Diceros bicornis minor: one gene and its partner. The protein of the gene in region 1 interacts with the protein of each later gene in a pairwise test. Links are inferred from orthologs where the notes say so. Each region holds a gene or a part of one and is shown in the gene's direction. Other genes may lie near its edges.

What was found.
Region 2: the proteins of MOAP1 (region 1) and THOC1 interact in binary tests that used the Homo sapiens proteins (3 or more experiments, as listed by UniProt). The two-hybrid records come from large-scale screens. The link is inferred for Diceros bicornis minor from reciprocal best matches to the Homo sapiens genes MOAP1 and THOC1.

Annotation. Positions count from the first base shown.
Region 1 is NC_080763.1:38,850,940-38,857,754, reverse strand, and holds MOAP1 (modulator of apoptosis 1), read left to right. Parts: upstream 1-5,056; coding exon 5,057-6,112; 3' UTR 6,113-6,274; downstream 6,275-6,815. Other genes in the region: LYSET (lysosomal enzyme trafficking factor), read right to left, coding at 3,105-3,516, 3,945-4,092, 4,989-5,019.
Region 2 is NC_080755.1:14,299,728-14,307,562, reverse strand, and holds the start of THOC1 (THO complex subunit 1), read left to right. Parts: upstream 1-4,738; 5' UTR 4,739-4,790; coding exon 4,791-4,844; intron 4,845-5,011; exon of another isoform or gene 5,012-5,159; intron 5,160-6,947; coding exon 6,948-7,021; intron 7,022-7,115; coding exon 7,116-7,176; intron 7,177-7,835. UniProt on the Homo sapiens protein: Component of the THO subcomplex of the TREX complex which is thought to couple mRNA transcription, processing and nuclear export, and which specifically associates with spliced mRNA and not with unspliced pre-mRNA.

The DNA of each region.
Region 1 (6,815 bases):
TATGGATCCTAGGATGCTTGCCCCTTCCCTAAAATCCCTAAAGCACTCCCTATATTTGCCATTTATCTCACTACCTAGTCTTGTTTTCACTGCTTTTTGTATTGTGATGTGAACATGAAATAAATGACGATCTGCTATAATACATAGGTCTCCTATCCATCAATTTCAACCTCCTCCTCAAATCTAACAGAGCTAGGTTAATTTCACCTTTCCCTCTTTACCAAAAGAGTGCTTTTAACTTTTTTTTGTGAGGAAGATCAGCCCTAACATCCATTGCCAGTCCTTTTTTTGCTGAGGAAGACTGGCCCTGGGCTAACATGCGTGCCCATCTTCCTCTACTTTATACGGGACACTGCCACAGCATGGCTTGACAAGCGGTGCGTTGGTGTGCACCCCGGATCCGAACCCGCAAACCCTGGGCCGCCGAAGCGGAGCATGCACACTTAACCGCTATGCCACCAGGCCGGCCCCATGAACTTTTTTTTTATTATTTTTTGTGAGGAAGATCAGCTCTGAACTAACATCCATGCTAATCCTCTTTTTGCTAAGGAAGACTGGCTCTGAGCTAACATCTATTGCCAATCCTCCTCCTTTTTTTTCCCCCCGAAGCCCCAGTAGATAGTTGTATGTTATAGTTGCACATCCTTCTAGTTGCTGTATGTGGGACGCAGCCTCAGCATGGCCGGAGAAGCAGTGCGTTGGTGTGCGCCCGGGATCCGCACCCAGGCCGCCAGTAGCAGAGCGCACGCACTTAACCGCTAAGCCACGGGGCCGGCCCCCCATGAACTTTTAAATAGCCATAGACAAAATAAGAATAATCCACAACTTGGATAATTAATTCCTAAAGAATCAAAAAATAGATTAACGCTGCAATCTGAAATTCAGTAATTACATCTGAGAATACTGCATTACTCCTACTCTAATTATTTTAATATTTCTTCTACCAAGGCAGTTTGATCTTGAAAGAGAGAGAGGGACTGAGCATTTACTCACCAAATCCCCAAATATTAGAATTTGAAGTATAAGAGAGAAAGTCTACTTCCATAAAAAGGAATTACTACTTTACAAGTGGCAAAGTCACCAACCTCGCAATACATCAAGCATTTACAAAACAAAAAATAATTGAAATAATTTTCTTAATTTCCAAACTATCACTGCCTCAGGACTAATCAAATACAAAAAACTGCTCCATGATTTTCCTCAAATTACCCTCTCTTTTTGAGAAGCAGTATGGTGGAATGACAGAGCTGGAGATGTCAAGCCAGACGTCCTGGCTCAGATCCTGGCTCTCCCACTTACTGCTGTGTGCCCACGGGCAAGTTACTAATTCCTGTGCCTCAGGTTTCCACCTTTCCTCTTCTGTAAAGTGGCACCAGGACCAGTACAGCCTGCCTCACAGGATGCTGGGAATGAATGCAAACCATTCAGAAAATGTTTCCTGCCGCATGCCTACTATCACTAAGTACCCAAAAGATACAAGGGATTTGGTTATCTGACCCTCGCAGAAACACAGGTATTTCAAACTGCTGCTTACATTGAAGATTCAGTGTATTGTAGCGAAAAGTATCATTTCAGTAATTAGACCTTTGGAGGTAGTCAAGAAATGAGATTAATTGGAGGAGGATTTAATCGTGCTCCTTTTCAGTTACAAAGATGCCTGCTTTATTTTTCAAGTAAAAGCTTGCTGTGGAATGCTCAGCCCTCCATTCTGGTCAAATCAGACTTAAAGGTTGAGGTTGCCAGAAAACTTTCAGATTTTCAGTAGCTCATACAAATTGAGAAAAGCCTTCTCAATACTACTGCCATTTCCACTCTTTGACATGGCTAGGCAAACAGTACCTAGTGCTGAAACATCTGTCATTTGCAAGAAGCACTAACAACTCAGTGGTTAGGAACAAAGGAGTCACATGCCTAGTTATGACTCTGGCTCCGCTACTCACCAGCTGTGTGACCTTTGGCAAGTTACTTATCTTCTCCACTTCAGTTTCCTTATCTGTAAAATCTGCATAATAACTGCTATCTCATAGGGTTGTTGGGAGGATTAAATGAATTAATTCATTTAAGCTCTTAGAACAGGGCCCAACAGAGTAAGCCCCCCAAAATATTATGATTATTATTAAAACCTATCACTGTAAAACATTTCCCTGATATTAATGACATAACTGTATAAAAATATATCTTGAGCTCAACCAGGAAAAAAGAAAAAAAATCCTAAAATCTAATATTTCCATTTTTTAGTTATTTGTATTGGCACCAGACATGAGGTAGTACGTACAAATGCAAAGCAGGAAGTACAAGGATCACATCTTCATGCAATTAACCTGTTGTCTGAAGACCAGACCTTAGGCCAGAAAAGAGAATCGGAAGGATGATGACTTGCTGGTATCTTTTAGAGCAGGATCACACATCTGACAGGGACTGGACTAAATATTTTCACTGGACACCTTGTTTCCATCTCCTCTGTGTCAGATTTCTCAACTTGCAAACAGTCTCTTCCCAAGTAGTTTTTTTTTAAACCAGTAGCATTAATAATGCTAGTTAATAATACCAGTAGCATTACCAAAAGGAGGAACCAATTCTGCTTATCCAGACAGCTATCACCTCAGTAATTTTATACCAATTTCTCACAAGCTGATAGCAAGCAAGCATAAATAGTTGGTGTTTTAGTCTGAAGAATTTTAAAGCAAGCCAAGTAATTGTATAAAATTTAAATTTTATCACCATGTTTGGACCTTTTTACATTAAACACAATGGAAATGTTCATACTCATTTTTTCCCCAAAGGAAAAATTTCTGAACCATCACTATGTTGCACAGTAGAATAAAAATATGAGTTCAGGTACTTATTCAAGTTGCTAAAGAATGCAAATAACAGACACGATTTTACTTCCAAAATCTGAAATCATCAACATGATTTTGTAGTATGTATCTCAGGCTTTACCTAAAAATTCTCATTATTATTCAGATAAAGATAGCCCCCTAGTCGCATTTTTTAAAAAGCCTCTGCCCCACCACAACTTCCTGAGATCTGTGAAGAAAGTGCAGTCTTGTGATCAAGTTCCATATGGCAGTTTTGTAATCATAAGGAAAAAACTGTGACTGCTTTCACGTGTCAATCAGTTGTAGTCTGCTGATCTGATTAGAAGCCTTGACAAATGCCTGGTGGCGATTGCAAATAACTGCCAAGCATATGGGGATAATACAGTAGCCCACCGTCTTGGGGTCAGCTCTTGTACAAGAATAAAGGAACAAAAACATCTGTAAGTAAGGTATCAGAAAAATAATTGTCCAAAACCAAAACGGCAGAGAGAATAACCGAGCTTTCAAAGAGTGTGTCCATGTGGTTCCTTCAAGGGGCTCCTCTGGGTGCTGTTGAATGTGTTCCAAGGCCAGCCTGTTGTAAGTCTCATTGATTTCAAAAACATAGTAAAATGCTGCTGCACTTGCTAACAGATACAATCCCACTCCAATCCATCCCATCCGCTGACGGAAGTTCATCATTCTCCATGCTCTGTGCCTTTAAAATAAAAAAAAAAGTTAGGATCTAGTAATGCTGTCACGGCAACTATTCCAAATGTACTTGCTTTATGTCCAAGGAGTTCTAAAGTACCCCACTAAGGCATTTAAGGTTTAAAATAAATTACATTTACAAAGAAATGTAAATAACTTACAGATTGCTGTTTTATGTAATAAGAGGAAGTAAAGTTTTAGTATTCAGTCTGCTTTTTATGTGAATCCCACAGAATAAATAAATCACTATATCCAGCTTAATAGGTCCAGCACATCTTCCATTAAGAAATTGGAATTAAACTAGTTTCCTACGGAACAATTCACTTTTACAGTTAAAATACTTGAACAGTATTGCTTCAGACGTGAACACTTAGTTCTACAAGTCAAACCAACGTCAAGGCCCCCAAGTTAAGACAGTAACTCTTAAGCACTTACAATGGTCCCGAAAATCTTCCTGTTCCCACGGCAAGCGTTAAAGAGTCACTCAGTTCTGAATAATCGGGTGGCTTTGGCATTTCACAGAAAGCCACCATAAAAGAAATCTCCGGGGTCACCGGCTGGGAGAAAGGTGAGCGCGGCCAGCCTGGAGCACAAGCTAATTGTGATTAAGCAGAGCGTGACTGCGGCCGGTCACGCGGCGGCCCGGCCCCGGCCGCCGCCACCGCCGGAGCCCCAGCCCGTGTCACCCGGCCCGGCCCGACGCTCCCCAGCCACCCGGGCCTCCCTGCGGCCGTCCCGCCCCCTGCCGCGCTGCAGCGCCGGCCGGCCGCGACAGGCTGCGCGGGCGGCGCCAGGCCCAAGCCTCTCCGCCTCGCAGCGCCGGGAGCCCCGTGCCGGGCGGCCGCCGCCGGCCGAGCCTGCAGGGCTGGCAGGTCCCGGATCTCACCTTCCTGTCCGGGTTAGCCCGCCCGCCCGCGGTCCCGGACGCTGCCGCAGTCGGGGCTTCCGGCTCGAGCCGGAAGCGCGCGCCCCGCCCCGAAAGGCCCGCCCCGTCGTGACGTCGGGCCTTCGCCGGCGGTGCGGGTCGGGACGCGGGACGCTGCGGCGGCGCGGGTGGGGGCCCCTCCCCTCAGGTGCGCCCCGCCGCCTCGGCGCTCCTCGGGCTCGCCCCCCGGTGCCTCGCTCGCCGCCCTGATCGCCCGGCGCTCCTCGCCGCGCAGAGCGCCAGCCCTCCTCCGCGCCTCTGCCCAGCCCCGGGAGCCTCTCGAGTGTCCATCGAGTGCAGGAGACGCCGCGCTCCCGCTCCTCGGGCCTGGCCGCCGGCGGACGCAGACACCGGCGACTAGATCACCGGCGAGGGGACGCGGCCCCGCCGTCGGCTGCGGGCGCCCCAGGCCGAGGAGCGGGTGAGATGGCTGCCGGCCGCGGTGCGGCCGGCGCGGTGCGCGGGGCTTCTCGGGCCCGGGCCTGGACCCCTGCGACTAACCCGGCCGCGCTGTCCCCGCAGGCCGCCGAGCTCAGGACGCTGGCGGGACTTACCTGGGGTACCGCGGAGGAAGTGCGGTGGCATCGGTGCCCCGACATTTCAGTCTCTTGTTTGGGGCATCATGACGCTGAGGATCTTGGAAGACTGGTGCAGGGAGATGGATGTGAGCGCTCGGAAAGCGCTGCTGATCGCCGGCATCCCCCAGACCTGCAATGTGGCGGAGATCGAGGAGGCCCTGCGGGCTGGCCTAGCTCCCTTGGGCGAGTACAGACTGCTCGGCAGGATGTTTAGGAGGGACGAGAACAGAAATGTAGCCTTAATAGGTCTTACTCAGGAGACTAGTCATGCTCTGGTCCCTAAGGAGATACCTGGGAAAGGGCGTGTCTGGAGAGTGATCTTTAAGCCCCCTGACCCAGATGATGCATTTTTAAGCAGATTAAATGAATTCTTAGAGGGAGAGGGCATGACATTGGGTGAGTTCACCAGAGCTCTTGGGTATGGAAACGACCCTTTTGACCTAGACCAGGACATGAGCCCAGAAATACGGGCCCCTATGTTGGCACAGGCATTTCTTGAGGCTCTTCAGCCTGCCCTGCAGTACCTGAAATACACAAAGCTGAGAATATTCTCGGGCAGTGATCCTCCAGAACCAGACGAAGAAGAATTTGAATCCTGGCTGATTCATACTACTCACATGATGAAGGCATGGCAGGTTTCAGATGCAGAGAAAAGAAGGCGATTGCTGGAGAGCCTTAGAGGCCCAGCATTTGATGTCATTCGTGTCCTCAAGATAAACAATCCGTTAATTACGGTCCCTGAATGCCTGCAGGCTCTTGAGCAGGTATTTGGGGTTACTGATAATCCTAGGAAGTTGCAGGTCAAATATCTAACCACTTACCAGGAGGAAGAAAAATTGTCTGCTTATGTACTAAGGCTGGAGCCTTTATTACAGAAGCTGGTAGAGAGAGGAGCAATTGAGAGAGAAGTTGTGAATCAGGCCCGCCTGGACCAAGTCATTGCTGGAGCAGTCCACAGAAGGCTGCGCAGGAAGCTTGCTCTGCCAGAGAAGGGCCCAGCCCCTGGCTTATTGCAGTTACTGACACTGATAAGGGATCAAGAGGCAGCTGAGGAGGAGGCGGCCCTTCTCCAGGCAGGATTGGAGGGGCATTTCACCTGAATCTTAGGAAACCAGGAAGGGGTATCGGACGGTGAGCAGAGCATGGAGGTAGAATGGTCCATATACTCCAGTGATAGACATTACCCAGTCCCTACCTTGTGCTGCCAAATAACTCATTTTTGTACAGTTCTCAGTATAAATTCTTTGTCATTTCTATGCCTATTTAATGTCTCTTAAATGTGTCATTGACTAGGAAGGCTATAGTTCTGCACTGGTATTAATGTATTTATTTTCACCCCCGTGAATTTTTTATCATACGAAATTGTACAAAAGGTCTGTCACTACATATGTGTGATGCTCTGAGAGGACCACGAGGCTCAGGTGCAGATGCTCACTGGATCTCGTTGAGATCTCAGCTGTGTGAACAGGTGCAAGTGTAGCATGTCGGATATGATAATGTTGTATCATAGATAGTTTTTAGTTATGTATTGCCCTCCATTTATCATGAAGATCGTGAGCAGTGGTTAAGATACTAAGTTATTTTCTGTGTGAATCAGAATTTTATTGATTTTGTTCAATCAAAACAAGAATTAAATGCTGAGGTTGATAAGTTTGCAGCTGCTATCTCTAACACCGGGATTTCTGATATGTGTCATCCGGACATCTAGTTCTGAATATCGTTTTTTATAAGTGTTCTAAAACTATAGGTGTGGGGGCCAGCCTGGTGGCGCAAGTGGTTAAGTGTGCATGTTCTGCTGCCGCG
Region 2 (7,835 bases), on another chromosome or scaffold:
TTAACCTCTGGATCAACCACATTTGCACCAAGGCCAGGCTTTCTGAGGGCTGCTTTCTAGTCAATGACTGAACATGGCAGAGGTACTAGTGCAGGTCCATTCTGGCAAACCACGGGACTCCTCTAAGAAGAAGTTTGGCCTAAGGACTCGCCATTGGCAAAGTCAAACCTTTCTTGGATCTGCACTTCACTCAGAAACTTCCTACCTAATCTTCCTTCCTTCCCTCTCTCCTTCCACAGGTGTCAGCCCTGCATTGTGGTCTGCAAGCTCTCTTTCCCTGCCTGCTCCTACTGACTCCATAATAAACCTCTTGCACATCTAATCCTGTGTTGGTGTCTGCTTCTTGGTAGACCCAAACTAACACAATTAGGACCTCCAGAAGCAAACCCTGAGGTGAGAATTCATGAGCAAATAATTTACTAAGGTGCTCTCAGGAGAAACTAGTAAGGGAGAGGGAAACAGGACAGGAAAGGGGAACAAGCCAAGCAATGCGCAATTTCAGGCAAAATCTCTGCCTAACCCTGCAGGGAAGCTGGGCTTACCGTGGCAAGAAGTCACTCACTATTCTCTCTCTCACCTTGAATTATGTTCACGTATTGTGGTCCAACCAAGCTCACCAAACAGGCTTTTTCAATGTACACTAAATAATGATGTACAGTACTTACAATTTAATAAAATAATAATACTGCGTATATAATCCAAAAATATTCTACCTATGGCTGGCAGATGGTAGGCACTCAATATGTGTTGAATAAATAGTACAATATTAATATAAAATGCTTGAAAATTGCCACCACCCTATAAAAAAGACAACACCCACACAGTTTTCATGTAATTTCTCTTTTTCCACAAAACTGTAAGTCCCAAAATATACACAAAGTGCTATCCTTCTTCCATTTTTATTCTTCTCAGTTCCATTCCTCTCCCAATGAAGGAGTCTCATTTTTCTTGCTCAATTTTGCTTTTTGCTCAAACATCAGTTCCCTGTCAATATCATTATTTCAATCCACTCAAATTACAGAGAGAGAAAAGGGTAAAGATGGTTAGGGCCCAGAACTTGAACCAGCAAAAGCTGCAATTCAACATCCTAATGTGGTTGACTGATGAGAATGGAGCAAAAAGTTTCCTTTTGCCTGGGCTAGAGGATAAGGACTAGAACAAAAGCAGATGAGGCTGCCTCCTTGGTCCTTTTCTCCTAGATCTCACCACTCCAGTGGTAACCTGAATCCAAGTAAGAGCACAGCAAGGAAAAGAAGAGGAATGAAGATGTGAATGCTTGGCACTGAACTAAACCACCCACCCTGGAATTTCCAATGGAGGGTATCTCCTAACAGAGAGGCAGTTCCTGGTCCATCTTACCTCACTAGCATAAGAGGAAAAACCAGTGCGTAATAAACGTAAGCAAAGAGGTTACATGTTATTGGATGTCTGCCCTTTGAACTTTATTATTACAAACTTTTGAAAACTTATAATTCGTTGTTATTGATGACAATATGATCCTTACCCTTATCCAACTGTAAGGAAATAATGTATGAGACATTAAGATAGGAATGTCTGTTGGTAAAGATTCAAGAGTTAAGGATTAAAGGTAGGCTCAAATCCCAAACTAGCTTTCTCTAGCCATGTGACCTAAGACAGATGAGCCTGTTTCCTCACTGATAGATAACTATGTACAATGCTGTTGTAAGGCGTAGAAATAATACAAGAAAAGTGTCTGGCTCATAGAATGTACTCAATAAAACTTGACAATTACTTACAACAGTATAACATGGTGTAAAGAGCACGAAATTTGGAATCAAAACCCCTGAGTGGTCTCATTTTGCCAATTACCTCTATCAAGAACCATACCTCTTTGAGTTTGCTTCCTTGTGTGTAAAATGGGCATAATAGCTGTATTACCCACCTCAAAATATCATTTAGAGGATCAAATGAGATACTACATGTTAAGTACACTGGGAATTATAAAGATTTTTTAACGTGATCTAAATGCTAAAATATTTTTTACTGCAGTGATTTTTGTTTTTTGTTTGTTTGTTTGTTTGTGAGGAGATCAGCCCCTGTGCTAACATCTGCCAATCCTCCTCTTTTTTTTGGTGAGGAAGACTGGCCCTGGGCTAACATCCGTGCCCATCTTCCTCCACTTTATATGGGACGCCGCCACAGCATGGCTTGCCAAGCAGTGCGTGGGTGCGCTCGCAGGATCCAACCGCCGCAGTGGAGCGCGTGCACTTAACCGCCTGTGCTACCGGACTGGCCCCTGCAATGATTTTTGAATGACATCTTTTTAAAATGCATTACTACTTCTTTGCTTTATTAAATATAATCTTAGGGCCAGCCCCATGGCTTAGCGGTTGGGTGCGCGCTGTCCGCTGCTGGCGGCCCGGGTTCGCATCCTGGGCGCGCACCGACGCACCGCTTCTCCGGCCATGCTGAGGCCGCGTCCCACATACAGCAACTGGAAGGATGTGCAGCTATGACATACAACTATCTACTGTGGCTTTGGGGGGAAAAAATAAAAATAAATAAAATCTAAATATAATCTTATCTTGAGGTCTCAAATCATACTGATGTCTATGATGTCTTAGCTCTTTTTAATCTATCTAGCATCAGATTGCTGCTTTTTAAAAATAGGTTTTATTTTTTATTGTGGTAAAATATACATAAAATTTGGCATTTTAATCATTTTAAGTGTACAGTTCTGTGGCATTAAGTACATTCACATTGTTGTGCAACAATCACCACTATCCATCTCCAGAATTTTTTCATCATCCCAAGCTGAAATCTGTACCTATTAAACAATAACTCCCCATTATCACCTGATGATTGCTGCTTTTTTCCTACTATTTCTTTATCTGGTATTGCTTCACTTGGTAGCAGCAAAACAGCTCACTTTCTCCTCCCCCCAAAATATACTGCTGCTGTAACTTAGTAGGAACCATAAAAGCCATTTTTAACCCACAACATTCTTTGGCCTCAAACATTAATACAATCTTGTTCCAACTTGACTTTTCAGCACTATTTCTGTTCAGAACCCAAGGTTAAAGTCAAAATAAACAGCTGTCTTTCACTATGTTTCCTCCCTTCCATACCTCGGCTCATACCATTCTCCCCATTTGGAATGTCTTTCCTATTTACCTCTTCCCACTCTTACCTATGCCTATTGGAATTCAAAGTCCAGCTCATATTCTATCTTCTCCATAAAGGCTCCTTGACTACCTCATACAGTAGTGATCTCTCTCCTTTGATCTCCTACAGCAGTTATTACCTAAATTACTCACGATAGAAATTGTATACTGTAGTTGTTTCTTTTATGCCAACCAGAGCTCCTCAAAACAGGAATTAAACTATATTATTTTGTTCAATCATTTGTTCATATATTTATTATTCATTCAACAAACACTGTCCACTGTGTATAAAATGGCCAACAAATGTTTGCTGAATAAACAAAAATTCTAAGTCACTGGGCTTTGATGGACGAGTCAATCAACTCCAGCTCTTCTTATGTTTGGGTTTTGGTAAAAAATAATCTTATATACCTCCCAGGTCTTAATTGTGCTCCAGGTAGCTAATAATCATCTGTAACATAATAATAATCCTATTACACTAGCTACCTATTAAATCAGCTAATATCAGTTTATTTTGCCTCTTTGGAAATTTAAGTCATACAATCAAACCTGAATGATTCTGCTGATTCTAAAAAAGAGTGCCGTGCTGTAGGTAGCCATCACTGTTATCAATCCCCACTTAGGGGCAAAACTAGGCAAAAGTATCTTTTTGTTAGCTTCCCGTATTCTCGTTGGATGTCAACGAGGGGAACAATGTAAAGCGCACCTAGCTTTCTTCATTTAGGTACACGTGGAAGGGAATAAGAGCTGGCAGGAAGTTCCTCGTATTTGGGTCAGTGCTTCTTTCCCCACAGCACAATGCCAACTGAGAAAGTTACTGACAGTTGGCTTCTCATAACCAAGCCTCTCCAGTGAGAGGAGACAAAGGAGGAAACTGCTGAGGAGACAGCGTTTTGAAACGGGTGCCTCTACCTGGACGCGGCGCCCACCCACTTTCCAATCAGAGCCGAGTATGGCATTCCTCCCCGGTCTTGATCGTTCAGTAGAGACCTCCACGTGCCACCAAAGTTAACTGAGTCCAAGATATTAACAATAAGTTATATTGCTTTACAAGCCACACTTGCCTTCATGGTTTCATTCGCGCTTCTCAACAGCCCTGTGATACAGGCATTATTTCTATGTCACAGAAGAGGGAACTGCTCCTGAGCCACAGAGCACTTGAACTACAGGGCTGATACGTAAATCCGGAGCTGAGACCACTCCTTCGGGGAGAATGACTGAGGCCCGGCGGTCCCCGGCCACCGCCAACACTTGCCCAGATAACCCGCCTGCCTTGGATTCTCGGGCAGCGGTTACCTTCCCGCGCGGCGCACTGAGCCGTAACTAGCCGCCACCCTCCCGGCTTCCCCAAACCGGGAAAACCACCGCCGGTGCGCGTCCCGGCTTAGGGCCCGCCCGGCAGCGCAGAGCTTACAGGACGAGGCAGCCCAAATGCCGTCACCCCAAGGGTACGCCACAAACCCGGACTAGGCTCTGCGCGGCTGACTCAGGCTTCCAACGCCCACCTGAGTGGGCGGTCCCCACAGAGTCTCCGGACTGGCAGCTGGCCCCCCCCTTGGCTCACACGCCGCTCTAGCCGTGCACCGAGCCGGCAATCTCGTTGCTCTCGGCTTGACGTCATCAGCGGGCGCCACAGCGCGGTGGCGGGCCAGCGCAGCCGGGAAGATGTCTCCGACGCCGCAGCTCTTCAGTTTGCCCGAAGCGCGGACGCGGTTTACGGTGAGCGGAAGGCAGGAGGGGGCAGGCCTAACCCAGGGCTACTCTTTGCCCTCCTCTCTCTGAAATTACTCAAATTTTGCCCTGGGATACAGTGAGGACCGAGGCGTGTACGCTGCGGCGTGGGCTCCCGGCCCCGTCAGGGGCTGGAGGTGGGAAAGACGCTTTACCTGCGTCTTTCGCCAGTCCTTTGCTGTCCGCCTCCGCTCTCCCGCCAGCGGGCCCCGGGACCCTGATGTCTGGGCGTCTTGGAGCCCTGCGTGGAGGGCTCATCCGCAGACTACCTCCGGTGCGGGCCAGCTCCTCGTCAGTGCTCGCTTAGCGGGGCAGGTGTCTCCGGAACTGGACGGGGAGCTACGCGGGGCGGGGGGGTGTGCGGAGAGGCGGGCGTGGTTTCAGCCCAGAGAACCGGCTCCTGCCCTGCCTCCTAAGCTGCCAGGTGGTTTTTCCGTCTGTCTGTTCCCTGCACTTGTAACTCTCAGTATCTCGCTCCTAAGAGATCGATGAGGAGATCCTAAGTGGGAAGAGGCAAACAGATCAGCTTGGGAAAGGTTGCCAGATGTTATTTTATTCTTACGCTTTGGGGAAAAGCAGTTGGAGCTTTGGGAAACACTTTACAGAGCGTTTTCATGTTGGCTTATTTAACTCTTACAATAGGAGTGTGAAGTAGGTAAGTTTTATTATCCGTTGTATATGAGAGAAAAACTAAGACACTGCCCCCCCCAAAGTTAAATGATTTACTTCACTGATTTTTCTGACTTCAGACCCAGTATTCTTTTTATATTGCCCATGATAGCCCCAAACATGAAGAACTCTGTTCAAAATTGTTTGACTGTATTTGTCTTTAGCATTTGTGCCAATATTTCAAGTCATGAAACTACTGATTATGCTTAACTATGCTCATGTAGTTGTAGTCATGCCCGAATGAAAATTCTGTGAAAGAAAATTGATTCTTTGTAGTCAGTAGTTTTCTTGTGTTCAGGTATTATTTTTTTCATACAGTGTGGTGTTTGTTTTTTACCAAATTATATGTTGTTTATGTTATCAGAATCGTTTTCCTTCTGTGCATTTTGCTGTAATCCCTGGTGCTCTGAAGTTCTGCTAAGAGTAACTTGAGGAATCTCCAAGATCACATTAGTCCTGGAAGGGACCATTTAATTGGAGATCATCTAGTCCATTGTTTCTCAAGTTTCCGTGTGTAGTGGGATCACCTAGAGATAAATTGTTAAATGTAGATTCTGGTTCAGTAAGTCTAGAATGGGGCCCGAGATTCTGTATCTCTAACAAGTTCGGAGGTGATGCCACTGCTGTTGTAAGGATCTACAACATCCCTCTTAGTTAACTGGAGAGGAAAATGAAGCACAAAGAGATAAAACGATAGGCCCGAGATTACACAGCCTATTTACAGTATAAATCTAACTCCTATGAGGCAATAAGATGACTTTGCAGGTGTATGTGAATTTTCACAGAATGAATGACTTTGCAATATTCTTGTCTTTCAATTATGACTACTTTAAGACAGTCAGCAGGGACTGTGCTGATCAAGCTACCTAAAGGAGGTAGGACTTGAGATGGGTCTTGAAGAATGGATAGAATTTGGACGAGCAGGTGGAAAGAACAACATGAATGTATGAATACCCTTGAGTGAGCTTGATAGAAACTGATGAAAAAACAGCTAGACCTTAGTGGAAATTATGTTAGGGTGTAGTGGGAAATAAGATTAGATAAAGTGAGTGGGATAATATTATCAAGGACCTTGAGAGTGAGCTATGAAACTTCAAAACCAAAACCTGTAAATAGAGAGCCATTTAGAGGTTTTTAAAAAAAAAAAAGCAGAATACTCTCATGAATGTGATATTTAAAGAGATGGTAGGAGGGAACACCTGTAATAAGAAAGTCTAGCTAGGAAGCTCTTGACAGGTTTAAAGTGATGAGAGTCTGTATCAGTAAGTGGCGTTTGAATAAGAATTACTGATAGAATGATTGGTAGGTAATTTTTCCCAGGTAAAAATATTTTTTACTTAGACATACTATTGATAAGTGATATGGTTTTCAGTAAATAATAAGCAAAATCTTTCCACTTATTTCCTATTTTTATTTTTCTAGAAGTCTACCAGAGAGGCCCTGAACAACAAAAATATCAAGCCATTGTTGAATACCTTCAGCCAGTTACCTGGCAGGTACGGCATTGACATCCATGAAATATGCTTGCCTGGATCTTTGTACTTACCTTGAGCTGTTTAAAAAATGCAAGTGTCTTTTGTTTTTTAATAGTGAAAATGAAAAAAAATGTACCCTTGACCAAGCTTTCAGAGGTGTTCTAGAAGAAGAAATTGTAAGTATGCTTATCCTTTATTAAAATTTTGCTGGCAAATTAATAAACTAGTTTTTAATAAAGCAGGTTTTTTAATTGCTTTTATTTTTAGAATGGATATTTAAACATTACTTTTTTTAGAGTGAGCTTGCTACTTTGTGAAAGCTGACTTGATAATAGTACAGGAATTATGTAATAATTAAGGGATTCAACAGCACAGGTGCAATTTAAAGGTTTGGTTTAATAAATGAAGAAAGCCCTCTGCAGTGAATATAAGAAAAGTTGACATGAGGTCTTACTTAGCAAGAACTAGAAGTTGAAGGTGAGCCCTCTCACATTGCTCTATCAACATCCTGTAGTGGCATGAAAGGCCTAGCCTAAGGATGTTCAGCATGGGAGCTGGGATTCATGTGCTCATTTTCTTCTGGCATCCTCCTCATTAGTTTGCATTCAAAAAAAACTACAGCCTATCCAACTTCAGTAGAGAATTTAATCTAAACATGAGCAGTCTGAATTTATTTACCATTAGTGGGGCACTCAAATGAAAGGAAAAGTCTCAGCAGTTTATTCTTGGTTAAGCAAAGGCTGGGTCCCGAGAAGCTAGATCCTTTTCTAACAGCCATAATACAGTGTCCCTTTCTTTCAGACAATTCTGGATCAAAAGTCATTCTTCCTCCTCT